Lonchura striata: one gene and its partners. The protein of the gene in region 3 binds, or shares a complex with, the protein of the main gene of each other region. Links are inferred from orthologs where the notes say so. Each region holds a gene or a part of one and is shown on either strand. Other genes may lie near its edges.

Region 1 (7,411 bases), on a different chromosome or scaffold from region 3:
CTTTCTTTATACCTTCTGCAAGCTCCTATTGAAGTGAGCTTGTGTCAGGCAAATAAGAGGGTTTTGTCTTCCAGTTTTTAATTTGGTTGGGTTTTGTGGGTTTGAGCTTTTCCTCAAAGAATTCCTTCAAAGTGGAAACATTAGCTCTAAACCATTTGTAAGAGAACCCCAAGACTTCCAGCATAAAATTCTATTATTGATACTGAGTAATACCATTTGAAAGAGAACCCCAAGACTTCCAGCATAAAATTCTGTTATTGATACTGAGTAATCTGCTGCCTACAGCACTATTTAGAAGAGCATCCTCCTTTCAAACCTAGCATTTTATTAATTTCAGATAAACTTTAGACTAAGTAACTATTCCAGTACAAAGAACCTCTTTTAGATGCCCTCTTCCACACTTGCTGAAATTACAGCTCATTCTCACTAGAGTTCAAGTATTGCCAACAACGGCAATGTCTATACTTTGCATAAAACAAGAATGGAAAAGAATATCTACACATCTGGCTGCCAACTGGGACTTTTCAGCTTGTGAATCATAAGATATGCAGGATAAGCCTACAGGGCTACAAAGAACAATTACTTCTGTTTAGAAGCATTCTTACCATTCAGAATAAAATTGCTAGAGGGTTATTAGGCAATTATCTCTGTGTGCATCTAAACTCCACTGACACTAACCACCCAGGGAGAAGATATTGGTTCTTTCTGTGGTACATCCCTGCAATCCATCTTCATCACACCATTTTCAGTAACACTCTTTAGATTAAAGATTCTCCAAGACACAGTTCAGCTTTACAAATTTCTATCCCTCGTGTCCTGTTTCTAGTAAATGTGGTACAGCTTTCTGCAGCTTGTGGACGGAATAGATGTGAGAAGTTGAATCACAACTAAGTGCATGGATTTGCTTGCACAAAAAGACGAGAAACAGCCCATTCACAGGGTGACATTTGCAAGCGTTTTCAAAGACTTCACACAAGACCTCTTATATAAAACTGACGATTTCTCCAGAAAATTCTGAATTTCATCACCTGGAAGCATACGAATCTTTTAGGAACAAACTGGTAACGAACACAGAAAAAAAAAAAAATAAGGCAAAGCCCACACTACGTGCTAACCCGAGGGTTAGTCACAGTTCCTTCTCTGGATGCCACGAGCGCGCACAGCAGTTCGGGCGGCCGCTCGCTCCGCGGCAGTCAGCAGGGGAGCATCACACGCTCCGTGCGCCGCTCGCTGCGCCAGCGCGGCCGGCTCGGCTGCGTGCCGCTGCTCTGGGCAGCCGGAGCGCATCGCGGCCGGGGAGCCGGGACCACCGGCCGCTCTTTGTTCCGGGACCCCCGCAGGGCCCACTGCGGCTCCTCCCGGTGCGGCATGCGACGGGCGTTCTCCCTCCCGACGCCTCCGCAGGGCTGCGGGCACCGCCGGCGCCGGGGCACGGTGTGCTCCGTGAGGCACCGGAGGCGGGAGCCGCCTCCCCCCGCCCGCAGGAGCGGCTGAGTCACGCTGCCCCCCGAGCGGAGGGGGGCGCGGGCGGCCCCGCAGCCCCCGCCGCCACCCCCCGCCCGCCGCGCTGTGCTCACCGAGCCCGGCCAGCCGCTCCACCAGCCCCGCGGCGCGGAGGGTAGCGGGGCCGTGGTCCACTCCCCGCCGTTTCTGCGAGACAAAGAGAGGGGAACGCGTCAGACAGCGCTGCCCGCAGCCAGGTACGCGAGCCCCGCCGGGGAAGGGGAGCCGGGCGAGCGCGGCGCCCGGCGCATCCCCGCGATGCCCACCTGGCCCCTGGAGAGCGGGGCTCCCACCAGCGCCACGGAGTGCGCCCCGCGGCGCGGCCGGAGCGCGGCGTCGGGCTGGGCGCGGAGCAGGCGGGCGAGGGATCCGCGCAGGGCCATGGCGGGCGGTGCTGCCGCGCGCCGCCCGCGCCCCGCTCTCTTTAGCGCCGCGCGCCGCCCCCGCGCCGCCGGCCAACGGCAGCGCGCGCGCACGGAGGTGTGTCCGCGCGCCCCGCCCCCGCGCCCGCACGCCCGCCCGGGGTTTTTCCACTGCCGCCGCCGGGGGCACGGACGGGGGCTCGGAGAGAACGAGCAGCGCCTCAGGCTGGCGATGAGATGCTCGTTCTCTCTGACACGTGTAGGTCCCCTCTGTGTGCGAGCCGCACGCTCCTGCAGCTCAGCCCGGCTCCCTGGCTGGCCGCTCCGTGGCTTCCCCGAAGGAAAACGGTGACGCTCATCACCAGATGACCTTAATAAAGCATTGAAGGACCACCTGTTCAGCACCTACCTCGAATATTGATCGCAGAGCATCGTGGCCTGAGACGATTCTCGGGTCTCCAGCTATTCATATTTGAGGCACATTTGAAGGATGATTAACAAATGATTTAAAAAGAAGTGGCAGTCCCCACCTTTCCCTGCTGTGACAAGGCAACAGGACTCCCACTGTCGAATGTCCAGTCTTTATCTACAAGCTTGAAAGAAGGCTGACAGCTCATGAGATAACAGGGCAGAAACATAGTTAAATAGGGACTTGCCAGAGACACATATTAAAAAATCCAAGCATATTTTGCTTTTTCGTCTTAAGATTTCCTAGTTCTCCTCCTATCTCTGTATGTCAATAACTTCTTTGTGTCTTGTTGTGAATGTGAATTATTGTTATCACTCCTCCAGGAGATCATATTTCTTTTCTGTCCTGTTTACTGACCTGGCTGTTCACAGTGCTTTTACCTCTTCTACTTCTTACTCTGATATTTCTTTCCCCTTCTTGTCCCCATCTCTGAAGCTGTCATACCAGCTGCCATAACTCCTGCTTACATGCTTCAGTCCTTCTCACCTGCCATTTCAAACCTTTCTTCCATCTTTTAAAAGCCTGTTTTCAATTTATTGGGTTTTTTCCACTTTCACTTCATCAACTAACTTCTTTCATCCTCTTTTGAACTTCAGTATTTTCTTCTCCATTTCTGCACTTCATTGTCTGCTGTTAATTTTTTTTTTCCTCCAGGCCAGCTCACCTTTCCTCTTCAGAGGAAGAGGAAAGCCCATTCCTCCACCTGGTCTCTTGTGTCAGAGTGGGATCCTGGATGTACTGCACAAGACTTCCCATGGATGGCAGCCATCAACCACTCCTCCAGGCAAAGCAAAGGCCTCGGTAGTGATTCTCTGATGCCCCTTGTTTTTTCATGTCCCTTAAGACTTCTTTGGTGCCCCTGTGAGAACAAGTTAACAGCTTTTTTGTACATACAGTATCCACCCAAGAGCTCTGAGGATGCCATGCATGAAGTAAATTGCTCACAGAAAGATGGCACCTGCAATTAAAGCTAACACTCAAAAACTGTGGGAGAAGGGAAAAAAAAAAAAAGGCCAAAGAAATCAGGATGGCAGTTTGGAAGTCACAGAGCTGTAGTTTTATATTACTGCCACGTAGTCACAGAGCCACCACGAAGTCACAGAGCTGTAGTTTTATATTACTGCTATGTCAGTCACATGAAGTAATAACTGAAATGCATTAAAGGGAACACAATACAAAGATCCATTAAGTCTCTGTATGCAAAGCCAAGTCTCCAATTTATCATGTATTTAGTGGCAAGGGACCAGAAAACTCTGCTTTAAACCTTGGGGGAAAAAATCAAAAGAGCTTGTAGTTAGCTAAGCATGGTACAGATGAGAAAATCCATTAATGTAGTTGCAGATGGTAAGGACAAAGGGGTGAAAAGAGAACCTTCCTGAGAAGAGAAGGTTGCATGGAGAACTCATAGAAACCTTCCAGTATCTAAAGGGGCGTTCTGGGGAGCCAGAGAGGGTCTTTCCATCAGGAGTTGTAGTGATAGGACTAGGAGTAATGGAAAAAGGGTAAATTTAGGTTAGATATTAGAAATTTTTTCCTTTGCATGTGGTGAGACACTGGACCAGGTTGCCCAAGGAGGTTGTGGATGCTCCAACCCTGGCAGCGTTCAAAGCAAGGTTGGATAAGGCCTTGAGCAACCTAGTCCAGTGTGAGGTGTCCCTTTCCAAGGCGGGTGGTGTAGAACCAGATGATCTTTATGTTTCATTCCAGTCCCTTAACAGTCTACGATTCCATGAAAACCCCAGGCTCTTCATCACGTCAAGAGACACGTGCAGCACCACTAACCCGTGTGCCCTTTAACTAACACTCATACTCCGTAAACAGAGGAAGCAGGCAACGAATTATCAACATGTGCAAACCGCAGAAAGCGCTGATGTAATCGAGATTACGGACAGACGCCCGGGCAGGCACAGCCGAGGAGGCAGGCGGCGCGGGCCGAGCCGGCGGGCCAGGCTCCTCCCGCGGGAGGACGGCCGGCCCCGCCCGCCCGGCATGGCGGAGCAGCGCCGCTTCCTCTCGGCCTGCGGCGTGCCGATCGCGCTGCGGCGCCGCCAGCACAGCGCGTCCTGCCGGGAGCTGGCGGTGCGCGGCCCGCGCCTGCAGCTGCGCTCGCTCAGCGCCGTCACCTCCGCCGTCTGGCTGGCGGCCTACGGGCTCTTCGCGCTCAGCGAGGTACCGGCCCCGCCGCCCCGGGCCCTCCGCGGCTCGGCACGGCGCCGGCCGCGCCCCTCCCGCGGGCGCGCAGGAGTCCCGCGGGCTGCGCCGCCTTGGCTAGCGGCGCCCGGGGCGTGGGGGCGGCCGCAGCCCGCGGGAAGGCGCCGAGCGCCGCTCCGGGGCATCCCCCGCGCCCCGGCCGCTCCGAGCTGGTGGGTGTGTGACGGCAAAGGGACGGCCGTGCCAGCCTGCCGGCTGCGGGCCGCCACCTGCCTGCCCCAGTGGCTTCGCGGGTGCCTCTGTTGGTTTGTAGCCTCTTGACAGATAGGGTAGATGTATGGGTGCTGAGTGATGCCTGGCACATCCTTCTGAGTCCAAATAACACGTGTTCACTTGGAGAAATGAGTTGTGAGAATCTGAAATTAAGGAGGAATTGAATAAGGTGAATGATTTTTAATCCTCAAAAGGAATTTTTCTAAGTGACACCGGGAGCACTGCACCGGGAATGTCATCAATTTTCACAGCTGAGGCAGAAAGATATTTGCAGTACAGATATAAAAGTCTGCTGATTCCTAAATTAATGCTTTTGGATTAATCAGAAACTGGACCCAGACAAGTTATGTCCAGACTGAATTCAGTAGCTTGACCAAAGAAGCTGGTCACTGTGACCCATGCTTTGACTGTTGCAAATCAGTTTTTTTCAGTAATCCTTCTTAAGAAACAAAGGTAGAGTCAGTTGTCAGACAGAAATAGATGGTTCCTGATTAAATTTCTTTTTTTACGAAAGCATGTCATTCTTTTTTTACACTGCAGTCAGTGGTTAGCACCCACTGCCCTCCTGCTTGTCTTTACACATGCTCCTGCAGCCTGCATGCAAGTGACTGCAATTCTTCCTTTAGCCAGGAAATCAGGCCTGAAAGTGCCCCTCTCTTTTTGTGGATTTCAGTGTCTGTACTTCATGACTGTTTTTTTCCCCTGTGATAGCAAACTTTTGGAGATGTCCTGTGTGCTTCCTGAAGCGATGGCTTCTTTTGCTCACATGGTGGTACAGGCCCAGCTTGAGTGGTAGTAGGGCTGTGCAGTTCTGTTCCTTTAGAAAGTGTCACTTATAACTCTCATTCATGAGTAGGTGGCCTGAAGATCTCTAAAACATGTCTCAGAAACAGGTTGTGGGTTGTGGACCTTTAGAATTTATCACCAGGTCTTCAGATGATTTACTGGTGACTATAGTGTCATTGGTTATATATTAAAATGTAACAGCAATCCCAAGACTGTGGCATGCAAAAGACATTGATCCTTACACAAAATACAGGATAAAGCAAAATTTCATTGGGTTGGTATTTAAGGCAAGAAGTGGGTGTGGTTTGAACAAGTTTGGACTGGCAGTTCATGGTAAGAAAACCACCCTGGCAGTGTTTATCCTGAAGGAGGGTTCCTCTGCTTTGAGAATCCACCCTTGCTTCCTGTAAACATTTCACAACACTTTTTTGTCAGTGACATCATCTTTAGAAGTTGGCATAATACTCTCATTGATACATCTGGCTTGTTTGGGTTGAGATTTCTGCATTGAACTTGGAAGGGAATAGAATTTTCTCGCAGTTTTCAGTTTCAGCTCCCAATTCTTTTAGTGCATACTGCAAAGACTAACTTAAACCTCACTACATAGATATCAGCCAGCCAGGTGAATAAAAAGACTCTACCTAAGTAAAAATGCTTTGCACCTGTAGCTTTAATATACAATTTGCTGCGCAATTTTAATTTCTCTAAAGCTGTGTTAAAGTAACTGTAAGACCAGAGCTCTGCCTTTTCTTGGCTTGTGTTACAGAACAGCATGGTGCTCTCTGCCGCCATCTTCATCACGCTGATTGGCCTGATCATATACCTGCACTTCGTGAAGATTGACCAGGAATCCTTGCTGGTCATCGGCTCGCTCGGCATTCAGGTGACTTCCTCCTATGCCTCAGGGAAAGAGAGCACAACCTTCATTGAGATGGCTCAAGTGAAGGATGTGGTTATCAATGAAGCCATCCATATGGTAATCATACAAAATCTGTCTTCTTGTGTCTGGGCACACTCACATCCAGTGTATTTTCATGAGCATGATTTACCAGAGCAATTAAACACAGCACCATCCGTAGCTTTACTGACATCAGGAGCTTCAGATTTTTCAACTTAATTTGTCATCTCTCACCTTTAAAGGAGAAATCAAACCAAACAACCTCAAAAAGCCAAATCAATCCCTTGGATAATGCCACTGTCATTGAGCTAGTGGGTTTCGTTCTTTGTGTTATGCTGTTCTTTCAAATCCTGATGCCCAACTCCATATGTAATCAAGATGGAGATGAGAAGCTACGACAGCACAATGATTTTTCCTATTGCTGGGGTTTGCAAAGCTCCTGTAGAAAAGCAGACCTTACCCTTCCAGCATGTGTGTGTTCTTCTTAGGTTAAAAACTTAATAGACAGTCAACGTTATTTCTTTATTGAGTGAAAGCTGTTGATACAAATTTGTAGACTTGACTGTGACCTGGCAGGATTTGCCTTCAGCCCAGTGAGTTGAAACAGATCCTACTTCTGTGCTAACTCCAGGCAGTTTGACAGCATTTTTATACTCCAATGATTTTTGTCCGTTTGTCTTGTAGCAAAAAGTTATCTACTACCTGTGTATCCTCCTCCAGGACCCTGAAGATCCTCAGGGAGTATCTGAGGTTGTGCCACTCTTTCAAGTGAGTTTGACTGAATGGTGGAGAAATCCATGTTGTAGTCTTTGTGTTGCATCAGTTGTCTAAGCATATTTTTATTCTGCTACAGGTAGCTGGTGACAGTTGCCTTTCCCTGGCTGGGCTGTCAGGATGTGTGGCATTTGAAATCTCACAGAACTACATACTAGGGATGGGTTTTTTCATTTGCTCTCCATTCAAACAATC
Region 2 (6,626 bases), on a different chromosome or scaffold from region 3:
AAAGCTGAAATAATGAAAAAAAGAAAAACAAGAAAAAGTTAGCAAATTGAAAAACAGAATAATCAAATGTTAACTGAAAATCATTAAAATAATTAATGTTAATGAAAATCATGAAGGGAAAATAGTGAAAACATACAGATATTTTTCTAAGCTAAGTATTATGCTTTGTTGAATTTGCAGCTGAATATAGATAAAAGTCTCTTACCTATTCACAGTAGTTACAAGCCCTCTTCTACTCTAGATTATAGACACTGTGGATGAGAAAGGCCAGGCTAGGTCTGGCCTTCTACCTTTAAAAAGAATGACCTAGCTTCTGCAACGCTTTGAGAAGGGTAAATTGTTTACATCAACACAGTGTACTCTCACAAACTGCAGCCTCTGACCAACAAAAAAACCACAAAAGTAAGGGATAAAGTAACTGCAAATTTCAGGGTGGTCCAATGCACTGGGCAAACCTCAGGGGATGTGAGAGGGGTCTGAGTTGTCCCTGTGCAATTCCTTGTGTTATTTTTTTGTGGTTTTCTCTAGAAAATGTGGCAGCAGCAGGGGTGAACACATTGAAAAGCTACTAATTAGAACTATAGTATAGTATATACTATGTGTGTTGTGGGGGGAAGAAAAGGGCTATGCAAAGTTTAAAATGACTGATATATTACCAAGCAACATTTTCTTTTTTTCTTCTGGTAACTTGTGAAACACAGTCCAAAAATTTCTGATGGTTTGATCTAACTTTGTATACTGTCTGTATGTCACATTCTGTCAAAGAGATAAAAATAAAACAGGCCAGGTTTATATTTCAATTTTTCCATTTATATTTAAAGCAACATTTTGTCTGATACATTTTATAATCCTGTTCATAGATATTCAAATCCCCTTAACCTCTGGAATCTGCTTGTTCATTTGTTTTTCAAAGATTCATATGACAATCCCTGAGTTATGGCTTGATACCTATTCCCCTTTATTCTTGTGGCTGACATAGATTAGAGGCAGAATATAGACACTAATCAAAACAAGACAAAGTTCCTTGAGCTTCTGTCCATCTGTTATGCACTCAATGAAAGAACAGGTCAGAAGTAGTTTATGCTTATCAGACAGAACAGAAGGACACTGTGCTTGTATACAATACCTTTTCCAGCAGATGCCAGTCAAATGTTGTGCATCCCTGGAGAAGAACTTGCAGCTCTTCAGGGAAAAACATCTTCCAATTTCTAGCTGGGCAGCCTCTTAAGAACCCTTGCATAAAGTCCTCAAATGGCTTCTTTACTGATTTATTGAACATATAATTCACATACAAATCAACATATTCTTTCCTGCAACAGATACCAAACAAGCATTGGTGGTGCTTTTCTAAAAGAAGAATTACAGAGAACTTTATACTTAATTCCTTTATTCCATATGACCTGCTTTGGTGTACAGACTCAGTCTTCACTGAGATCAGTTGTCAATGGCAGTTAGTTTTTCACTGAGTAAGCTGGGAGCATCTTCAGAAATAAAAGCGAATGCTGGCCAGAATGGATTCATTTTGGTAACACTCCTTTTTCTTCATGTGAATGCTCCAATTCCTGTCAGACACCTGGTTATTATAAAAGATGGAACCTAGCAGACCTAACTCCCATTGAATGCCCAAGAATTTCCCTGAAATAGAAATAAATATTTGCATAGCTGTTAATAGTTTCACTCTTATCTCTACTTCAGATGGGGATTTGTGTAGTGACATTGTACTATATGATCAATTCAATGTAAATGCTCTACTTCAAGCTTCTTAAACAGCCCTTTCATGGATCCTTATGGGTCCTCAGGTCATCTGCATAATTCAGGACACAAAATTTATTTCTGTCCTCTGTGCAGAGATTAATATTGATACATAATAATACATAATAATACACATAATAATATTGTCATAAAGCCTTATTGATATATTTCTCCTTCTCCTTTATGTACAAGATACATTCCATACACATAACTAAGCAGGAAACATTTTGCTCTTAAAGAACCCTTACAGAGGTGTGCTGGGTTTCACAAACAAATGATTTGTTTCTGCCTGAAAATACTGTTCAAGGTTATTTTTTACATTTGTTAGGAATTTTCCTGTTAATGCCAGGTATCTGTATATGCAGATATCAGGATATCCAAGGATCACCATGTTATCCACTGCTTGCACAAACTGACAGTTTTTGCACGTGTGCAGCAAGTACAGCAGGAACTGAAAGTGTACAATCTACTGGACCAAGACTAATGGCACAAAACAGAAGTCAATATTTTCTAACAATATATGGGGATGGGTGCAGACATGTTATTTCATACATTTGTAACAAGAAAACAGGATTAAGAAATATAAAAATAAAACTGACCTGTTATCCTTAGTGACAGGAATGTTGGCACCATTTTCTTTAAGTTCAACAACATCCGTGGAATCTCCTCCTTCCATTATCTATGCAAATAAATTAAAACACTGGCTGCTCTATCTATATGTGACAGATATTTATGTGCTACACCTCTCATTCCTCCTGAAGGGCCTGACATGGCATTCACTAGTCTGAGTTTACAGACAAGTTGTGGTCTTTGCACTGGGACATGTCTTGCCTGAGTACCTACGTAGGATGTCTTACCGTGAAGTCCAAGTCCAAACTATCACTTTCATCATTCAAAATTTTCCGGAGACTCCTATCCAAACACAAAAGGGATCAAAGAGAGAAGAAATGTGAGCATTCAGCGCACTTGAAAATTCTGCTAAAAACATCTTTTGACAGGCAGTATTTAAATGCATACATGTACACAACACCTACACTTAGACATAAACATGATATATGGCACTGAAATTTCATCATGCTGCTGACATAAGCTCAGCACAAATGCCTCCAGTAAAAAATGTTCCCAGGCAAGTCCATCCCCATGCCCTGTGTGCACAACTTTACACAAAGTTCAGTGACAACTGGGTTTGGAATCATTGCTTCCAGACATTATCTAGTGAGGAATTATGTGTGCAACAGAGAGATGATCTGGGAGAATTGTTATGGGGTGCATCACCTTTCCAAGTATTGCAGGCAACCTTGTGTTCCAATTCACTGAGGAACCTCAGTGAATTTAGCACTTCAACACAGTCACTGGGTCATGGGATGGGGTTCTCATCTTCTTGGTTGCTTGTATCACTTGCCTGGAAAACTGGGCTTCAGGGGCCTCGAAGCATTATGTTGGTGGCAGCAGCACCTCTGCCCCTTATGCCTGCCTGATATCTCCTCTCCCAGTGCATGGAAACTTTGTACAAGGGTTCTCAGAATTGGCAGCACTTTGTAATACTGTACTTGTGCAAGGCAATATAGTGGAAATTGATAATTAGTAAATCAGGAAAAAAATCCCACCATTAATAATTGAGTCATTAGTTCTTTAAAGTCCAAACTACAGCCCTTATATATTCACAGGGTGGATTTAAACTCTGGTGGAGCAGAGATCTGACACCTTCTAAGTCACGAGGTTTGGCATTTTGTTTTGGCAATGCCAGCCTCTGAGAGCAACATCCATGCCCTGGACAAGGACCTCCTTGGAAATCTGACCAAGGACCTCCTTTGTGGCTTCTAGCAGCTTCACAAAGGCAAATGTAGATGCTGTGGGTGCCCCAAATTCAGCCTCTGGGATCTCCCAGTGCATGGTCAAGTCAAGGGACCCAGCCAAAGCTGGGTCATACCGGCCCATGGTTGGCAGCAGATCCTCAAGGTCCTCTAGGGTGGGGACCAGGTCCAGTAGCTTTTTATAGAGAGCCCTGGGGAAGGGGAAGGGCACCATGCGCAGGTTAAACAGGGCCATTCCACACAGTGTCCCAATTAAGAGGAAGGTGTCCTCATCCTCACAGCTTCGGGCCTGGTTAGGAACAAGCACAACTGGTTAGGAACAAGCCATGACTGCCTTTTCCCATAGGTGGGGCACCCATCCACCCCTGCAGGGCTGGCTTACCTCTCTGGGGAACCACACGAGGCCGGAGGCGAAGTGGCAGAAGGCACTGGTGCTGGGCTGGCAGAGGGTCCTGGCTGCAACACTGAAGAACTCCTGGGACACCGCACCTTCGTCCACCCCCATCTCACCCAAAAAAGACACCTGCAAGGCCCGAGACACCCGCAGATAGAGACATCCATGTTGGCCACAAAACCAGGTTCCTTACCTGGTATGCAACACGCCAGTAATTACACAACCGAGAGACGCTGATTATTTATCTCACAGTTGTGCCAAGCTGGGTACTCGGTAGTAATCCACAAATCAAGCACATTCCACCAGACTTTTTGAGCCATTATTTGTACACAGAAGTTCAGAGTTAGTAACTGTCCAAGTCTGTTATGCTTGGTTAGCAATTTTCAAACAAGTTCCTTAACCCCAGATAACTTCCACACATGCTCAGGGTAAGGGTCTTCAACTGGGCAGGGGTCTCACTGCCCTGTGGGCATGATTTTAACTATTACAATTAACACAGTTCAGCTACAGGCTACGTGGACCAAGTTAGCAATTCATATATGGACAAGTTAGCAATGTATATACATCAACATCTTCATTTACTGCATCTTTAAGGCTTTTCAGTTCCCGGATGTCCTTGGCTAGGGAATGCTGGCTGCTGCCTTTTCCACTGACTAGGTCTCCTTTTTTCCTGATTAAGCTTGACAGTGTCCAAAGATCACACATGGAAAGGCATCCGGCCTTAGGATAACCTTGATCCTCCGTGCCCTCGGAACGCCGCGCAGGGGCGGGCCGGGCAGAGCGCGGCGGAAGCGGCGGCCATGCTGCGGGGCCCGGCCCTGCTGCCGCTGCTGCTGCGGCGGCCGGCCCGCCCCGGCCCCAGCCCCGGCCCCGGCCCCGGCCCCGGCCCCGGCCCCGGCCCCGGCCCCGGCCCCGGCCCCGGCCCCGGCCCCGGCCCCGGCCCCGGCCCCGCGCACGGCCGGCACTGCCATAGCCAGCGGGAGCAAACCTCGGGCTCGGCCTCGGGATCCGGCCCCAACTCCGGCTCGGGCTCCGGCTCAGCGTGGCCGCAGCCCCTGGAGCCATCGCTGCTGCGCTTCCTGGTGTGCCCGCTCTCCAAGCGGCCGCTGAGGTGAGGATGGGGCGGGGGAGCCGCGCCCGAGCCCTGCGCGAACCCAGGTTAGTTAGTCCCTGCTCCTCATGTTTTCGCTTGGATGTTTCTCCCCCTCTCCTGACTTGGCTGACCAGGTACGAAGAAGCTACGAACGAGCTCATTAACGAGGAGCTGGGCATCGCGTATCCCATCATCGACGGCATCCCGAACTTGGTTCCGGAGGCGGCCAGGAGGACGAACAAGAAGCCGCCGGCCGAGGGTCCGGAGCAGCCGTGAGGAGCCGCCGTGCACGGCGCTCACCCGGCCTGATGGCCGGAGCAGGGCTGCTGCCCTCCCTGCCCACGCTGACTGTCCTCGTTCCCCTCCTGTCCCTGGCAGGCCTGTTCTACTCGGCCAGCGTGGACGAAAACTTCCCCCAGGGCTGCACCAGCACAACCAGCCTGTGTTTCTACAGTCTCCTCCTTCCTGTTACAGTACCAGTTTATGTGTTCTTTCACCTCTGGACCTGGATGGGGATTAAGCTTTTTAGGCACAACTAGTGCAGTGCCTTTGCTAACCCCTGGCTTCTCTAAATCAACATAATTTGTTTAATCTCATCAAGTATTGCAGTTCATTTTGAGAGTTTCCCTCTGGTACTAGGGACTGTCATAATTTTCCTGGTAGGATCTGGAACTGTAGGAAGCAGCAGCCCATTGTTAACTACTGCTAATGCACATGAAGGGTAGGAGTAATACAAAGCACTAATTCCCTCACTTTTATCCCTTCAAGAGTGCTGTGCATTTGTAGTGGGACTAATTAGAACCTTAGGTTTCATGAGGAAGAACTGTACCCTGACTGAATAAACTAGATTAAAATTAAAACATGCTATGATATGAATCTCTCTGAGAGCTTTGGGGCTTTTTAACCAGATGTGTGTACTGAAATATGTTTGTCTCACTGTCAGAAGAGCAAAAATTAAAATACATCAGGCTGGTGTTTAATAACAAGACTTGAGATGAGTCAATTGAAGACATTTCTTTCTGGGATGATACCCATGTCTGTATGTGAAGTACATGCAGATCTTTTCTTTCTAGGGCCACGATGAGAATGCCACATGCCAAGTTCTTAACAGCACACAGCTATGAAGGGAGCAGGCCAGTGCTACAATGAAGGTTTCTTCTTTATGTTTTGCTTTTGGGTAGTTTGTATCTGCAATGCAAAACATATTAATGTCCTTTGAAACATGAAATTGCTGAAAAATTAAGAAATGAGGCACCAAGTTGTAAATGCTGCACCAGGCTGTAAATGCTGTGGGACACTTAACAGTGCAGTTACATTTTTCAGGCTGCTGCTGAATAATATTGTGATGCACAGTGTGAAAGGCAGTGCTCAGGAGGTGTGCCCAAAGGCTGACTTGAGCTAAGGGCAGCTGGTTGTCAGAGCTTGTACAATAGGTGGAGACTTGAAATATAGAGGACAGTACAGAGCACACCCTCACTGCCTCTCTAAATAAATGCCTCTCTCAAATAGTGAGGAGCCAGGAAGGAAAGGTAGCTCTGGGAGTCTTTGTGAATTTTGTCCAAAGTAAATGGGA
Region 3 (7,971 bases):
TGTAATTTCAAATCCAGGACTTACAACAACTTTTTTAATTAAATCAGCAATGTCTTCCATAACATGGAACTCACAGATTTTCTTCACGTTCCAGTCCAGGAACAGCAAACTGTTGGAAAACAGAATGAATTATTATTTATTTAGACAAACACCAAGCTGTTACAGGCTCTTATTTATGAAAATTCAGAGGAATTAGATCTGAGAATGTTTAAAAATTCACGTCCAGCCACTCAGAAGAGGAAGGAGAAAAATAACAATAATTAAAAAAAGGAGAGCTGGAAAGGTTTGGCTGCTTTTGAAATGTCAGCATCTACAAAAATCCTGAAATACCCCCCAAATTTCAGCTTCCCACACTCCCAAAGATTCCAAACTTCAGGAAATTAATCTTAATTTTTTTTTTTCCTGTGGATTCAAGAACTTCTGACCTCAACCAACTCCAACATTTCTGCACCAGTTGGAGCCTTACTGGAAGCACCCAAGGAATTTTCACAGGAAAAAGGAAAAGTGGGAAGATTTGGAGGGGAATCCCCTTGGAAAATGTGGATACTCACCAAGATTTATCCACAAAGGAAGTGCTTTCCTTGGTGTAGAGCACAGCCCAAAAAATCCTGATTTTGATCACATTGCAAAATTCCCTTAATTTTTCCACAGGCTGACTGCACCACACCTCACAGATATCAACTTCTGCAAGGGGGGAAAAAATGGGAATTACAGGGCACAATTCAGGCATTCCAAAGTGCCAGGAAACGTTAAAATAAAGGATTAATTCAGGCATTCCAAAGTGTCAATAAATATTAAAATCAGTCATTATTTCAGGCATTCCTAAGTGACAGTAAATCTTAAAATAAAGGATTATTTCAGGCATTCCAAGGTCCCAATATTTAAAATCCAGGATGATTCCAGCCTCTATTCCTGACAAAGCAAAGCAAAGGAATCTGAACCCTCTGAACTCACCTGGTCATGGAGGGGGTTTTTCAGAGGGGATTTTTATGGAATTATGGATAGAGAAATGCTGGAAGGTTTGGCATTCCTGTGTTCTGAATGGATAAATAATAAATAAATATTCTGAACTAAATAAATAATAAGATAAAAATGGAGAAATGCAGCCTCTCCTTGCTGGGCTGGAAGGGAATGTTCTTTTCCAGGGAAAACAGCAGCCTCTTCCACCTGTATCCATGAATTATTCTGGACAAGAATAATTGAATTAACCAGGGCAAGAGGGCACAAAAAGAGCAGGGTTTGTCCCCAAAAGCATCCTGCACTTCCCAGAATTTGGATGGAACAGGGAGGGAGGGATGGGAATTAAAAATTAAATGGGGTAATTGAGGTGGCTACAGGTGCTCTGAAGGAAATGAAAAGGGAAATTCAGTTTATTGGGGTGGGTTCAGGTACTCTCAGGGCAGAGCAACATCACTTGAGAGTCTGAAAATACAAAAAAATACAACAAAAAAAAGCACTCAAAAATACAACAAAAAAAAAATCACCAAAAAATTGCACAAAAAAAATCCACAAAAAAAAAAATCTCTTCCACAGCTGTTCATCTGCTTATTCCCACCAATTAGAGGGCTGTGCAGAAAATACAATTTTGAATTTGAGCCACCTGCTTTTCTGCAACTGAGAATTTTTGTTTAATTATTACTGCAAAAACCCTCCCTGCCAAAAAAAAACAACAACAAAAAACACACCAAAAAAACAAAAGAAAAAAAAACCAAAAAAACCAACCAACCAAACAAACAAACAAACAAAAAAAAACCAAGAACTGGAAGTTTTCTTTAGACCCACACAGCTAAAACCTCCAGCTTTGAATCTCCATCCTCACAGCATTAATTGCCTGCATTTATGTAAATATTACTGAATATTTAAGTTAGATTAGGAAATAGATGATAATTGTTCCAGGGTAACAGAATATAACAATGCTTCTGCTAAAAAATAATAATAAACCAATTTTCAAGCAACATAAGGAAAAATAAAATGAAATAGTAATCCAAAGATCCAAGAAATGGAAGAATATTGGTTTAGTTTCAATACCTGGTTTAGGACGAGGCGGCACAACATGTCCAAATGTTTCACGACACTAAAGATAAACACATAATTTACATATTTACAGGTATATATTTACATATTTACCATTTAGTACACTGCACAGCCAAAAAGCAAACACGGAAGAGCTGAAATCCCACAGGGAAGAGCTGAAATCCCAGAACTCAGAGCTGAAATCCCAGGAGCCAGAGCTGAAATCCCAGAACCCAGAGCTGAAATCCCAGAACCCAGAGCTGAAATCCCAGAACCCAGAGCTGAAATCCCAGGAATACAGAGCTGAAATCCCAGGAATACAGAGCTGAAATCCCAGGAGTCAGAGCTGAAATCCCAGGAGCCCAGAGCTGAAATCCCAGGAATACAGAGCTGAAATCCCAGGAATAGAGAGCTGAAATCCCAGAACCCAGAGCTGAAATCCCAGAACCCAGAGCTGAAATCCCAGGAATACAGAGCTGAAATCCCAGGAGCCAGAGCTGAAATCCCAGGAATACAGATCTGAAATCCCAGGAGCCCAGAGCTGAAATCCCAGGAATACAGAGCTGAAATCCCAGGAATAGAGAGCTGAAATCCCAGAACCCAGAGCTGAAATCCCAGAACCCAGAGCTGAAATCCCAGGAATACAGAGCTGAAATCCCAGGAGCCAGAGCTGAAATCCCAGGAGCCCAGAGCTGAAATCCCAGGAATACAGAGCTGAAATCCCAGGAGCCCAGAGCTGAAATCCCAGGAGCCAGAGCTGAAATCCCAGGAATACAGATCTGAAATCCCAGGAATACAGAGCTGAAATCCCAGAACCCAGAGCTGAAATCCCAGGAGCCAGAGCTGAAATCCCAGGAATACAGAGCTGAAATCCCAGGAGCCCAGAGCTGAAATCCCAGAACCCAGAGCTGAAATCCCAGGAGCCAGAGCTGAAATCCCAAAACCCAGAGCTGAAATCCCAGGAATACAGAGCTGAAATCCCAGGAATACAGAGCTGAAATCCCAGAACCCAGAGCTGAAATCCCAGGAGTCAGAGCTGAAATCCCAGGAGCCCAGAGCTGAAATCCCAGGAATACAGAGCTGAAATCCCAGGAATACAGAGCTGATTGCCCTGCAGGGGCTGATTGCCAGGCTGAGCTGAAGCAGCCCAGGAATGGCCACAGGACCAAGAGGTTGGGCAAGCTGTGCTGGCAGGAGCTGTCCCAGCAGTCCCCCCCTGCTCACAGGGGACACCAGCTCTGGCTCTGCCCCAGTTTGGGATTTTTGGAAGGGAATCATGGCCAGTGTGAGGTACCTGTACACAGCTTGAGTTCATGAACACTGGGAATCACTCTGGAGATGTGATCAGAGAATCCCAGAATGATCTGGGACGGGAGGGACCTCAAACATCATCCCACTCAAGCCCTGCCACGGCAGGGACACCTCCCACTGTCCCAGGCTGCTCCAAGGCCAGTGTCCAACCTGCCAGGGATCCAGGGGCAGCCCCAGCTGCTCTGGGCACCCTGTGCCAGGGCCAGATCCAGGTAAAAACTCCCCTGGAACATCCTGCAAGTTTCCCATCAAGCTCCAACCCCTCTTACCAGATCCAAGGAGGCCGGACCACCTCCAAAAAGAGCCGCTACAAAGGTGGACAGAGGACCAGCCATGGCACATCACCCTGGGAGAAAAGGAGGGTGAAAACACACCAGAGAGACAAACTCAGGAGCTGGGCCACACTTCCAACAGCCACGGCGCTAAAGCTCACTCTGCTGCTCTTGTTAAACTCTGGGCAAGTTCAGCTTAACGCTGAGCAAGCCATCCTAAACCCGGCTGGAAGCTCAGGCAGCCACTGACTCTGATCTACACCGCGACAGGAGCCCGGGCCCTGCCGCACGGCTGCATCCCGGGATCACGGCTGCATCCCGGGAATCACGGCTGCATCCCGGGAATCACGGCTGCATCCCGGGAATCACGGCTGCACCCCCGGGATCACGGCTGCATCCCGGACTGCATCCCAGGAATCACGGTTGCACCCCCGGGATCACGGCTGCAGCCCCGGGATCACGGCTGCATCCCGGGAATCACGGCTGCATCCCGGGAATCACGGCTGCATCCCGGGAATCACGGCTGCATCCCGGGAATCACGGCTGCAGCCCCGGGAATCACGGCTGCATCCCGGGAATCACGGCTGCAGCCCCGGGAATCACGGCTGCAGCCCCGGGAATCACGGCTGCATCCCGGGAATCACGGCTGGATCCCGGGAATCAAGGCTGCACCCCCGGGGATAACGGCTGCATCCCGGGGATTACGGCTGCATCCCCGGGAATCACGGCTGCACCCCCGGGAATCACGGCTGCACCCCCGGGATCACGGCTGCATCCCCGGGAATCACGGCTGGATCCCGGGAATCACGGCTGCATGCCGAGATCACGGCTGCACCCCCGGGAATCACGGCTGGATCCCGGGAATCACGGCTGGATCCCGGGAATCACGGCTGCATCCCGGGATGCCGAACACCCCGCCCCGTCCCGGCAGCTCCCGGGCTCCCCCCTCCGCCGCCACCCGATCCCGGAAAACCGCGGGCTCGCCGCTCGCGTGGATTATCCTGCCAAAGGGGAGAAGGGGACGCCGTCCGTGCCGGTGCTCCCAGAGCCCGGAGATGCTCACGGCACCGCGTGTGCGGCCCGGGGCGCGCTCACGGTGCCGGGCACAAACCGGGGCTTCCGGGCTGGGCGAGGCGCGGGGGAAGGCGGCCGAGCGGCCACCGCTCCGTCCCTCCTGTATCCCTCCGTCCTTGTATCCCTGTATCCCTCCATCCTTGTATCCCTGTATCCCTCCGTCCCGGTATCCATGCCCGGATCCCGCACGCACCGCTCCGATCCCGCTGCTGCCGCGGCGCCGCCGCTCCCGCCGCCCCGGCGCGCCCCGCCCGCCGGACGCACCGCCCATTGGCCGCCCGCCCTCTGACGTCACGGGCCGCGGCCAATCGGCGGGCCGTGCGCCTGCGCGCGTGGCCGGATGCAGGCGGCGCGGTGGCGGATGGGGGAGCGGGGGTAGGGAGCGCCTTCCTCCCCCATCATCATCATTATCATCCTCCTCCTCCTCCTCCTCCTCCTCCTCCTCCTCCTCCTCCTCCTCCTCCTCCTCCTCCTCCTCCTCCTCCTCCTCCTCCTGGGCCAGGCTGTGGACAGCAAAGGGGCAGAGCCGGGCGCGGGGAGAAGGGAGGGGTGCGGCCCCCGCAGCCGCGGGTACAGGGGCCCCCCCAAAGCGCTCCCTTATCTCTTCTATCCCTTATCTATCTCTGCTATCCCTTATCTATCTCTGCTATCCCTTATCTCTGCTGTCCCTTATCTATCTCTGCTACCCTCGTGTCCCGTTCTCCGCACTCCCCGCGAAGTTAAAGGCAAAAGCCCAGCATGGTTGAGAACTCTCCGGCCCCGCTGCCAGAAAGGGCAATTTACGGATTTGCGCTTTTTTTGGGCTCGTGGTTTGGCTTCAGTGAGTATCGCGCAGCCGAATCCATCACCCCGCAGTGCTGCTTTGCTTTCCCGTTTAAATCCGTTTTTTTTTACTCGAATCACGCTCATTTTCACATTCACTAAGCGCTGGAGGTAGTTGTGGTGTTACCTTCCCCACCAAAAAAATGAAAAAAAAAATAATCTGGTCAACAGAAGTGTAAAATATTTTAGGTTCCATCAGCTTTTCCCTGCTGATGTGATGGGTTCTTCTTTTCACTGGGGATCCAGGGTTTGAGAGGGTAGAAAACACTTTTCCAGCACAAGAAAAGGTGCTGCAAATATCCTTCAGTGCAGGATCCTGCTGTGGGTGTGTGGCACCGTCGGGCAGTGAGAAACGAGGGGGAGTTGGGCTCAACTCCCCCCCAAGAAGAATCAGGAAGGATTTTCAGTAATTTTCATTACAGTTCCATCCAAACACTACAATTCCACCCGGTTTTCTTCCCATAAAATGACCTCTGTGAGATCATTCTCTGCTTTAATAGTATCTCTGTTCAGATTCCTTTGGCTTCTTTTTATTGAGGTGCTTGGGGGTGGTTTTGTTGGTTTTTTTTTTTTCTTTATTGTTCTGCAGTTTAATTTGGAGTAAATTCTTGGCTGTCTTCATAGGAAATCAGAAATTAAATGTTAAAGCAAGAACAAAACTGATCCCGTGTAACCAGGGGCTGGGCAGGATTTGTCCTGCAATCTTTTGGGAGAGGTATTTTAGTTTAAATAAAAGCAAAACTTAGGAAGTCTAAAACACCATCAGTCTTATTGTGACTTTTTGATTTTGTTGTGCAGTTTTGTACCTTATCTGGGCTTATATTCCTGAGACTTGGCTCTTCTCCCTGGGACTGACATACTGGCCTCAAAAGTAAGTTCAGCCAATAAAATAAATTTAATCTTAGTTATTTTCAAATAAAAAACTTTATTTTTAAATAAGGGCCTAGAATAAAATCAATTTTCCCATGCTGATAAAGAATTGTAATGTTTCTAAAGCATTTTTAAAATGTAGCTAAGGTGAAAAGGTTTTGTTGTGCCATGAAATAAATAATATTGGGATGCTTTAGGATAAATTTGACATTTTGCTTTTTAGGAAGTCTGCTAGTGGAAATACAGTAAAATGTAGGGCATAATTAAACAATAAAGACCTTTTTGAAGGAATTTATCTGATGGTTTATCAGTAGCTCCAGTGGAATCAGGATTCATAATCAGAGGTGCTGCTGCTTTTCCTCTTGTAGAAATTCATCACAGGTACAATGCCAACAATTAAAGCCAATTCATTAGTAGGCATTTGTTACTAAATATAAAATTTCAAATCCTTTTTTTCAGGTACTGGGCAGTTGCTCTGCCAGTTTATCTCCTGGTGGCTGTGGGAATTGGTTATATTTTGCTTTTTGGGATTAACATGATGAGCACAGCTCCACTCAACTCCACTCACACCATCACAGGTGATTTTACTGCTTATTGAAAAGTTGGATCCTTCACTGAGAATTCTGGAAATCTATAGAGGATAAACCCCGAAATTTAAGCCTTTAAATATTTGATTTATTGGAAGCCCTGGTGGGGTTTTCAGCATCCTTTAAAGTAAGCTAAATTTGTAGTGCTGCCTTATAAAATTATATCATACTCTTGGAAGAAAAGGACCTGGAAACCATGAAATGCTCTCCTTATCTTTTGTAGATAACTTTGCAAAAAAGCAGCAGCAGAAGAAATTCCAGGAGGAGGCAATTCCAGCCCTGAGAGATATTCCCATCAGTGAAGTCAACAGGATGTTTTTTCTCCCTGAAAAAGGCATCTGCAATAGCAGATAGTTGTTACTAAAATCTGTTTGGACAAAGGATTGATAAAAATTACTGAGGAACGATTAAAACCTCTCCAAGCTAAAAAAAAAACAAACTCTTTCAGCTTTTTTTCCCCTGAATTTCTAATTAAATTCATATGGCTTCATTATTATTATTATTATTATTATTATTATTATTATTATTATTATTATTATGCACCTTATTAACCTGCATTGCTCTGAAAATTATGCCCCAGTCATTTATCTGGTTGTTATTTAAAAATTAAAAAAGTGGGTTGAAAAGTGTTCTGTTACTTGCAGCTTTTTGCTTGGAATTCCCCTCTGAGCGGGGAAAAAAAGCAGCTTTTAGACAGTTTAATTCTATTTTTTTTTAAATTCAGGGAGAGAAAAATGTGTTTTGCCAGTCAAACACTTGAGGATCTTTTTCAATTATTAACTGGAAGTGTTTGCATTGTAAATATATCATTTGCCTTTGTAAATATTAATAAAATGTAACTGATTTTTCCATCTTCACCATTTTCTTGTGATTCTGGGAGGTTTCTCCTGGGTTGAGGTGATAAATTCTCCATTTTCCTTCACACAATTCTTTATTCAGCCAAACCTGTTGATCCCCCCACCCCCCCAAAATATCAGATTTACCGAGTTACCAAAAATAATAAAGGTGGGTTGTGAAGATTT
Region 4 (7,452 bases), on a different chromosome or scaffold from region 3:
ATTCACCTAGCCTAAGATCTTGAATCCCATGCTGGATGTGCTGGAGCACCTCCTAGAGAAGGGACTACATCATAGCTCACTGTGGTGCCTCTGGGGAGTATTTCCTGCTGCTATCAACAATCAAACACCAGTTCATGCTATTCGGTCTCCTTTACCACCTTACAACCCAGATCTCTGCAGCAAACTCACAGAGCCACCTTGATCCCATCACTCAGCTCCTCCTGCCTCACTCCTCTTATCAGGAAACTGAGACAAAAATTTTGTCAGAAGAGACTATAGTGATTAATTGAAGTAGTTTTAATTCATTAGATTCAACAGCCTAAAAGATGAGAACTTTATCAGCGCTCTTTATCCTTAGTGCTTTTCTCCCCATCATTAAGAACACATCTCAGTGGCCTTGGGAGACTTTTCCAGAAAGGAGCTTTGAGGCAGTTGACAGTGTCTCTTTAAATAAGGTGGAGGTTTCTAACAGGAATATAATTGCAGTAAGGAGGGCGCTGGCGCAGAACAGGCAGCATCCGGCGCCCGCTGTCCTTTCCTGTCCTTTCCCGTCCTTCAGCGCTTTGTTAGGGATGTGAAACTCCACAGGGCCCCGAGGCTGCTCCTCTGCAAGGGACCAGTCAGTTGGAAAGGGAACACAGAGGGTATTTACAACACAGAGAGACCATGCGCAGAGGGAAGGGCCTGGTGGCTTTTTCCTCTCCCTTAGGAGAGGACAGCTGAGCCAGTAAAGCTCAGCGCCTGGGAACTTCCTACTCGGAGGGATGGAGGAGCAGTTATAGGGAGTGATTAACCTCTGGGGTTAATCACCCACAGTGGGGTAATCTGGGGAGTTGTGGACTCCCCATCCCTGGCAGTGTCCAAGGCCAGGTTGGATGGGGCTTGGAGCAACCTGGGACAGTGGAAGGTCCCTGCCCATGGCAGGAATGGGACTAAATGGTCTGTAAGGTCCTTTCTATGTCAAACCATTCTATGATCTATGGCTCTTCTGAGATCCTGCTTCCTCACAGACTCCAGGTCTCTGAGGTTATCCCTCTGGTCACAGAGGGAAAATTAAGTCCCTCTGTGGCCTCTAGATCTTGCTGGGGGTTGGAGGATCTCTGGAGCAGTGAGGGCCAATGCTGGGTGCATTCAGAACCTGTAAACACTGTGCTTCCAGCACCATACTGCCAACAAATTCCTCAGGAGAGGGAAGTCTTGGGATGTACTTTGCAGTTTTGCAGTAAAAGGGAAAATTCAGTCCAAGGAAAAATATCAAAGACAGTCCCATGATGTTTTTCCCATCGAAACAAAGAGAGTTGTTGTGAGTATTGCTACAAGAGACTCTCAGTGTCTATGCATGACTGTCCTTAAAGGTCTGTCCATCCACTGGACATTTTAGAAAGGAACTGTCAACTGACTCTTCATACACACACTTATTTTTCACTGAGATTGTTTTTAAAGATAGCCACAATCCTCTGGGAAAACTTCTCATGGAGCAGAAACACTTGACATCCTTATCTTCTCTAGTTTGTGCGTTTTTCCTCTTACACCTTCCCCAGCTTCTAAAATTAACATAGTTTTGTGCACCCAACTACTCTGGCTATAGCTTGGGTCAAATGATCTGCCCTTTGGCTGCTTGAGGCATGGCAGAGAAGATTCTGATATGACTTTCAGGCTGCACAAAATATCTTGATAGTTGAAAACCTGGCTGATCAACTATTGTTATGTTAATGTTCTCATATTCCCAAATCCATGACTTGTCATGCATCTACCTCATTCATTTCAATAGACTGAAATGTCAAATGTCATCACAGTCTGCTTCACTGCTGCTAATTTTAACAGAAAAATCTTACCAATGCTCATGCAGTCCCTCTTCATCAAGTGCCTAAAATCTTTGAGATCCACCTATTTCTTGTGAAAACATCCACCTTTCCTTGAGAGCACCAATGCAATGACCTCAGGTAACCAAAACAAACAAAATAAACACCACCTAAAATGTGTTAATACAACCAACAAATGAATACAGGGCCCTAAGACTGATGGATTCCAGAGTTTTTGTTAGAAAAGCGAAGGTGAATGGTGGGATGTGTCCATGGTTTCACCCCAGAGAGTGTCCTGTGGCCAAGGGGTGCCAAGGGGGACAGATCCCATAGCAGACCCACACCTGAGCATCCCATGATCCTTGCAGGGGGGTTAGGGCCAGGATATAAAGAATCATAGAACCGTGGAATTGTAAAGGTTGAAAAGCCCTCTATGACCACCAAGTCCAGTCAGTCATTCCCCAGCACCACCACCACCACTAAACCATGCCCTCAAGTGCCACATGCACACGGCTTTTTGAACACTTCCAGGCCAGGCATTCCATGAGCCTGTGACAGTGCCTGAGCATGCTTTACGCGAAGAAATTTCCCCATCTATTCTATCTATATATAAATTAAACCTCTCCTGGCACAACTTAAAGCCATTTCCCCTGGGAGCAGAGACCATAGCATGGCCTCAGAGATGGCAGCAGGGAGTTGTGCAGAGCCACAGGGTCCCCCTGAGCCTCCTTTTCCCCAGGCTGAGACCCCCAGCTCCCTCAGCCCCTCCTGGTGCTCCAGCCCCTTCCTCAGCTCTGTTCCCTTCCCTGGACACGCTCCAGCCGCTCAGTATCGTGAGGGGCCCGGTGCTGACCCGGCCCGGCGGGGGCTCCCGGTGCCCGCGCAGGCTCCGCGCGCGGCCCAGCCCGGCCCGCCCGCTCCTGCCACCCGCTCCTACCGCCCGCCCGTTCCTGCCGCCCGCTCCCGCCGCCCGCCCGCTCCCACCGCCCGCCCCGCTCCCGCCGCCCGCCCCTGCCGCCCGCCCGCTCCTACCGCCGCCCGCCCGCTCCCGCCGCCCGTTCCTACCGCCCGCCCCTGCCGCCCGCTCCCGCCGCCCGCCCCGCTCCCGCCGCCCGTTCCTACCGCCCGCTCCTACCGCCGCCCCGCTCCTACCGCCGCCCCGCTCCTCCCGCCGCCCGCCCCGCTCCCGCCGCCCGTTCCTGCCGCCCGCTCCCGCCGCCCGCTCCTACCGCCCGCCCGCTCCTACCGCCGCCCCGCTCCCGCCGCCCGCTCCGCTCCGCCGCTTCCGCCCGCGGTTGCCCGGAGACGCCGCTGCCGCCGGGTCGTGCAGCCGGACGGGCCCGGCCGGCACCGCCACCCGCCGCCCGCGTTCCGTGGTGCCGCGGCTCCCCGCTCCCGGCCTGTCGGGCCCCGCCGGCCCCGCTCCCGCCGGCGCCGCTCCCCGGGCTCCACCCGGCGCCTTCCCGCGGGCCCGAGGGCGGCGGGGCCGCCTGAGCCGCGCGATAAGGAGCGGTAGTGCCCCCCTGCCCTGCCACCGCCCCAGCTGGAGCGGGGCCAGGGCCCCGCTGTGCTCACGGGATGCTGCTGGCCCCATCCCCACAGGCCAGGGGCTCACCTGTGCTCACAGGACTCCGCTGTCCTCTGTTCCCAAAATCGAGCGGCCCCGCTGTTCTCACAGGACCCTGCTGTCGCTCATCCCACAGGCCAGGCACCTTTCCATGTGGGACCCCGTTGTTCCTCATCCCCAAAGTCCAAGGACTCACTGTTCCTCAGGGAACCCCGTTGTCCCCCATCCCACTGGTGAGGGACTCGGCTGTGCTGATGGGACCCTCTTGACCCCCATCTTGACTGCCTCAGTGGATGTCTGGCCCAGCAGAGACCCATGGGTGCCCACGGGTGCCCAAGAACTTTGTCCTGTGATCCGGCCGTGGGCTTGGGCCAGTGAGCCTGGGAAGATGCTAGGCAGCATGAAGAGGTCCCACATGGAAAGAGAGAGCAGGTGCAGAAGTCGGGGTGGGCTACATAAAAGATTTTGGGGTTTAGTTTTATTGTTGGATGCCACAGAATTGGAAATAAGATAGGGGAGATTAAGTCTTGTGGGAGGGAGCTCAGCTTCCTGCAATGGGAGAGGCTGATCCCCCTGTTTCTGCAGACCATGCAGCCCCAGTCCCTGCTGCTTGCCTCACGCTGCGGGGAGAGGGGTTCTGGAGAACCTCACAGGGTGTCTGTTGTGTCCAGTGCCTGTTCCAGAGCCAGGAGGGAGCAAGGCCCTCTCCAGGGATCATTTGGGATCAGAGACGGTGACTTGGGTGTGGGACACCATTAGAGACAGAGAAGTCATTAAGCTCCGTGCCCACACCGAGGGCTGGAGCAGGGAGAGGAAAACGCCCATCCCTGTGCCGGCACACCCTGCCCACCTTCCCCTGGCCCTTGCTGATAAAGGCAGCAAGACGTGCTGAGCCCTCCTCTCCAGAGGACAACAGGATGGTGTCTGCCCCAGGATGTGAGGTAGTCTGAGGAGTTCCACGATTCCATATGGAATTTACTCCGTGTAGTGGTTGTTGCTTCCCTGTAGAGGTCAGGAATGCAGCACAGAAGGAGTTACCTTCATCTTACCCTTTTCCTGACGTCTGCTGCAGACCCAGTGTGCTGTTCTCTGATTGCAAAACCCACCCTAATAGCCTGGGAATGAATTAGGACAGACCAGTTGGCTCAATCATGCCAGGCTGGACAGGGCTTGGAGAAGCATGATCTAGTGAAAGGTGTCCCTAGTCATGGCAGGGTGTAGATCTAGGTGATCTTTAAGGACGCAATCCCAACCATTGTGTGATTCCATGATTCTGTGAGCGAGCATGGACTTCTAGCATGGCCTTGCCTCTCTGGTCATGGTCTGGCATCAGGAAGATGGGACCATGGCACATCAAAATCACATGGAGAGAGGAGAAATATTTATATCAGCTTTGGAAAACACTCAAGGAACCAAGGATGTTGTGATAACAAGTTTGCCAAGGCACCAGTGCAAGGCCAACTCTTGAGTTGCTGGGTCATCCTTTACACACTCTGGTGGGTCCAGAGCTGGTCTAGTCCTAGAGAAGCTGGGGGCCTTTAGGCAGTCAGGTCTGGGGCAATGTCCCATCCCTAGAAATGTCCAAGGCCAGGTTGGATAGGGTTTGAAGCAACCTGGTATAGTGGAAGGTGTCCCTGCCATGAAATGGTCTTTACAGTCCCTCCCAACCCAAACCATTCCATGATTCCATTACAGGAATCTTTGAGAGCAGTGGAGCTCTCAGCACCCCAGCAGATGCACAGCTCAGTGGGGCTGCAGGGAAACCATCCCCCCTCCCCACCTGTGTGTTTGGTTGGGGTCAGCACGTGATGTCCCAGCATTGGTGGGTCTGTACCGGGGTCTCACACAGTACTTAAAGACTTTGACACAGTTCTCCACTGTGTCTGCCACAAAGAGGTGCCCAGAGGAGGAGCAAGCCATGCCAGCAGGCCTCCGCAGCCCCGTGGACACCAGGCAGATGGGAGCTCCATGCTCTGGGAATAAGTGGACTGTACGGCGCTGCTCGTCTGCCACCAGGATGCTGCCATCCGTATCCACGCAGACCCCAGCAGGGTTGCCAAACTGGTGTCCATATTTGCTGCTGAGAGAGCAGAGGAGCTTACAGCTGCTCATGAAGACCTTGACATCTCCACACTCTTCACTCACCACAAAGCCTCCACCGGGCACTGGACTGATGTAGCGAGGTCCCTGCAGATTTGGGACAGAGTGCACATTGAGTGTCCTGAAGGTATGGTCCAGAGCAAAGCTGTGCACTTGACCTTGTGCATAATCTGCTATCAGGATCTTGCCCATGGAATCTACTCCAATACCCCTGGGGGAGCCAACCTTCCTGACCTTTATCCATTCCCTCTTGGAGAGGTTGGTGTAAGGGTTGAAGACCCAGATGGCTTCATTCACCATGTCAGCTACAGCCACCATTCCCATCCTAGTCACAGTCACATCTTCCGGCAAGAAAATGCTGCCTCCCTTGCCTGATTGTTGGCAGGGCAAGGACTGCAGTGTGTGGCCTGTGCTGCTGAGCACGTGGACCCAGGGAGCACTCTCAGCTGTCACGTAGATGGAGCCATCCAGGGAGCAATGGATTCCACTGACACCCCCGTAGCGGCTGCCGGTGGGGTTGGGAATCTGCCGGACCAAGTCATCCTGGCAATAGTGGAGGAGGTTCTTGATGTTGTCCAGATCTCTGCACAGGCTTTTGGCCTTATCTGCCAGCTGGTGGACCTGGTGCTGGGTCACCATGCCCATGCCACTCTGGCTGTGCAGCACTGGGCTGGCTGACTGCAGTGTGGTAAATGACTTCACCTGGAGGCTGTAGATTGTTTTCAGAAGCTTCTGCTTTAGCTGGCTGGTCTCCAGCGTGTAGTCCATGACAAATCTCTTGTCCCTGTTTGGGGGAAGCAGTTAGGACCATGACTGTCCCTGCCTGCTGCCATCTCTGAGGCCATGCTATGGTGCTTGCTATCTACCCAGGGTCAAGGTGTTGGTGCTATTCTGGATTCACTTCATGCCAGAGAGACCACGTCACTTTATTGCCAGCTAATTATAAAATAAAGACAAACAAGGACCATGGCATAGAAATTAAAGGGTCAGCAAACTGGACCTACACCTGGAGGAACAACCCAAAAAGGTCCAACAGCTCCAACAGCTCAACTGGTGTCAGATATGGCCTGAAGATTTATGTGTAAAGGTGAGCCCTGTGTGTGAACTTATTGAATGGGACCTCAGACTCCCCAGTTCCTGAGATAATGACTTCTTTCAGGTCTTTAACACTTGTTACCCCTATTTTGTGTGAGCCTCATCTCTCCAAACCAAGCTCAATCCATGATAACACTTGAGTCACTCAGGGTGATCATTCCCCGACTCCCACATGTCAGATGTCAAACGTGGCCAGGGCATGTCTTTGCTCCAGGCAGCCCCTTTCCCATCCAAATAGCTTCACAGAATCACAGAATATCCTCAGTGGGAAGGGACACGTCAGGATCATCCAGTCCAGCTCCTGGCCCTGCACAGACACACCAACAATCCCACCCTGGGCATCCCTGAGATCATTGTCCAAACTCTCCTGGAGCTCTGGCAGCCTTGGGGCGGTGCCCATTCCCTGGGGAGCCTGTGCAGTGCCCAGCATTCTGGAGGAAGAACCTGAAGGAAGAACCTCCTGCTTCTGGAGACACAAGGCGTAACCAGCGTGTTATGGAGGAAGAACCTTTCCTGATATCCAGCCTAAACCTCTCCTGACACAGCTCCAACCATTCCCTGGGTCCTGTCCCTGTCACAGAGAGCAGAGATTAGTACCTGCTGATCAAGTAATTTCTGAAGTAGCCAACAACTTTTCAGGAAGAAAAGGGGAGATTCTGCTCTGAAACATGCATTCAATCTTCACCATTTTTTTCAGACAAGAGAACCCAAATTTTTCTTTTGCACACTTTTCCTCAGTCTTAAAACTAGGCAGTGATGGAAGCCCAGCTTTGCTATGTTATCCCCAGGCATGGCTGGAGCATGGCTTACAGCACACAGCCAGGAGCTGACAAGTGAAATGTTAAGAGACATATGACCTCATTAAAGCTCCTGGAGAGGCATAGTTTT

The links.
Region 1: PIGP (region 3) and PIGH share a complex: the UniProt entries of both Homo sapiens proteins name them as parts of the glycosylphosphatidylinositol-N-acetylglucosaminyltransferase (GPI-GnT) complex. The link is inferred for Lonchura striata from reciprocal best matches to the Homo sapiens genes PIGP and PIGH.
Region 2: PIGP (region 3) and PIGY share a complex: the UniProt entries of both Homo sapiens proteins name them as parts of the glycosylphosphatidylinositol-N-acetylglucosaminyltransferase (GPI-GnT) complex. The link is inferred for Lonchura striata from reciprocal best matches to the Homo sapiens genes PIGP and PIGY.
Region 4: PIGP (region 3) and PIGQ share a complex: the UniProt entries of both Homo sapiens proteins name them as parts of the glycosylphosphatidylinositol-N-acetylglucosaminyltransferase (GPI-GnT) complex. The link is inferred for Lonchura striata from reciprocal best matches to the Homo sapiens genes PIGP and PIGQ.

The regions. Positions count from the first base shown.
Region 1 is NC_134608.1:32,903,113-32,910,523, forward strand, and holds the start of PIGH (phosphatidylinositol N-acetylglucosaminyltransferase subunit H), read left to right. Parts: upstream 1-4,313; 5' UTR 4,314-4,323; coding exon 4,324-4,503; intron 4,504-6,310; coding exon 6,311-6,520; intron 6,521-7,126; coding exon 7,127-7,210; intron 7,211-7,411. Other genes in the region: ARG2 (arginase-2, mitochondrial), read right to left, coding at 1,578-1,650, 1,770-1,886. UniProt on the Homo sapiens protein: Part of the glycosylphosphatidylinositol-N-acetylglucosaminyltransferase (GPI-GnT) complex that catalyzes the transfer of N-acetylglucosamine from UDP-N-acetylglucosamine to phosphatidylinositol and participates in the first step of GPI biosynthesis.
Region 2 is NC_134606.1:58,611,362-58,617,987, forward strand, and holds PIGY (phosphatidylinositol N-acetylglucosaminyltransferase subunit Y), read left to right. Parts: upstream 1-5,329; 5' UTR 5,330-5,361; coding exon 5,362-5,592; 3' UTR 5,593-6,041; downstream 6,042-6,626. Other genes in the region: putative E3 ubiquitin-protein ligase HERC4, read right to left, coding at 1-4, 657-756, 1,127-1,310, 2,352-2,431, 2,610-2,664, 3,683-3,855, 3,949-4,089; PYURF (protein preY, mitochondrial), read left to right, coding at 4,432-4,484, 4,823-5,071, 5,188-5,329. UniProt on the Homo sapiens protein: Part of the glycosylphosphatidylinositol-N-acetylglucosaminyltransferase (GPI-GnT) complex that catalyzes the transfer of N-acetylglucosamine from UDP-N-acetylglucosamine to phosphatidylinositol and participates in the first step of GPI biosynthesis.
Region 3 is NC_134604.1:114,838,907-114,846,877, forward strand, and holds PIGP (phosphatidylinositol N-acetylglucosaminyltransferase subunit P), read left to right. Parts: upstream 1-4,971; 5' UTR 4,972-5,045; intron 5,046-5,134; exon of another isoform or gene 5,135-5,389; 5' UTR 5,390-5,408; coding exon 5,409-5,490; intron 5,491-6,290; coding exon 6,291-6,363; intron 6,364-6,821; coding exon 6,822-6,940; intron 6,941-7,172; coding exon 7,173-7,303; 3' UTR 7,304-7,806; downstream 7,807-7,971. Other genes in the region: E3 ubiquitin-protein ligase TTC3, read right to left, coding at 25-109, 552-684, 2,029-2,074, 4,864-4,941. UniProt on the Homo sapiens protein: Part of the glycosylphosphatidylinositol-N-acetylglucosaminyltransferase (GPI-GnT) complex that catalyzes the transfer of N-acetylglucosamine from UDP-N-acetylglucosamine to phosphatidylinositol and participates in the first step of GPI biosynthesis.
Region 4 is NC_134618.1:2,699,615-2,707,066, forward strand, and holds the start of PIGQ (phosphatidylinositol N-acetylglucosaminyltransferase subunit Q), read right to left. Parts: upstream 3,138-7,452; 5' UTR 3,049-3,137; intron 2,943-3,048; exon of another isoform or gene 2,938-2,942; intron 1-2,937. UniProt on the Homo sapiens protein: Part of the glycosylphosphatidylinositol-N-acetylglucosaminyltransferase (GPI-GnT) complex that catalyzes the transfer of N-acetylglucosamine from UDP-N-acetylglucosamine to phosphatidylinositol and participates in the first step of GPI biosynthesis.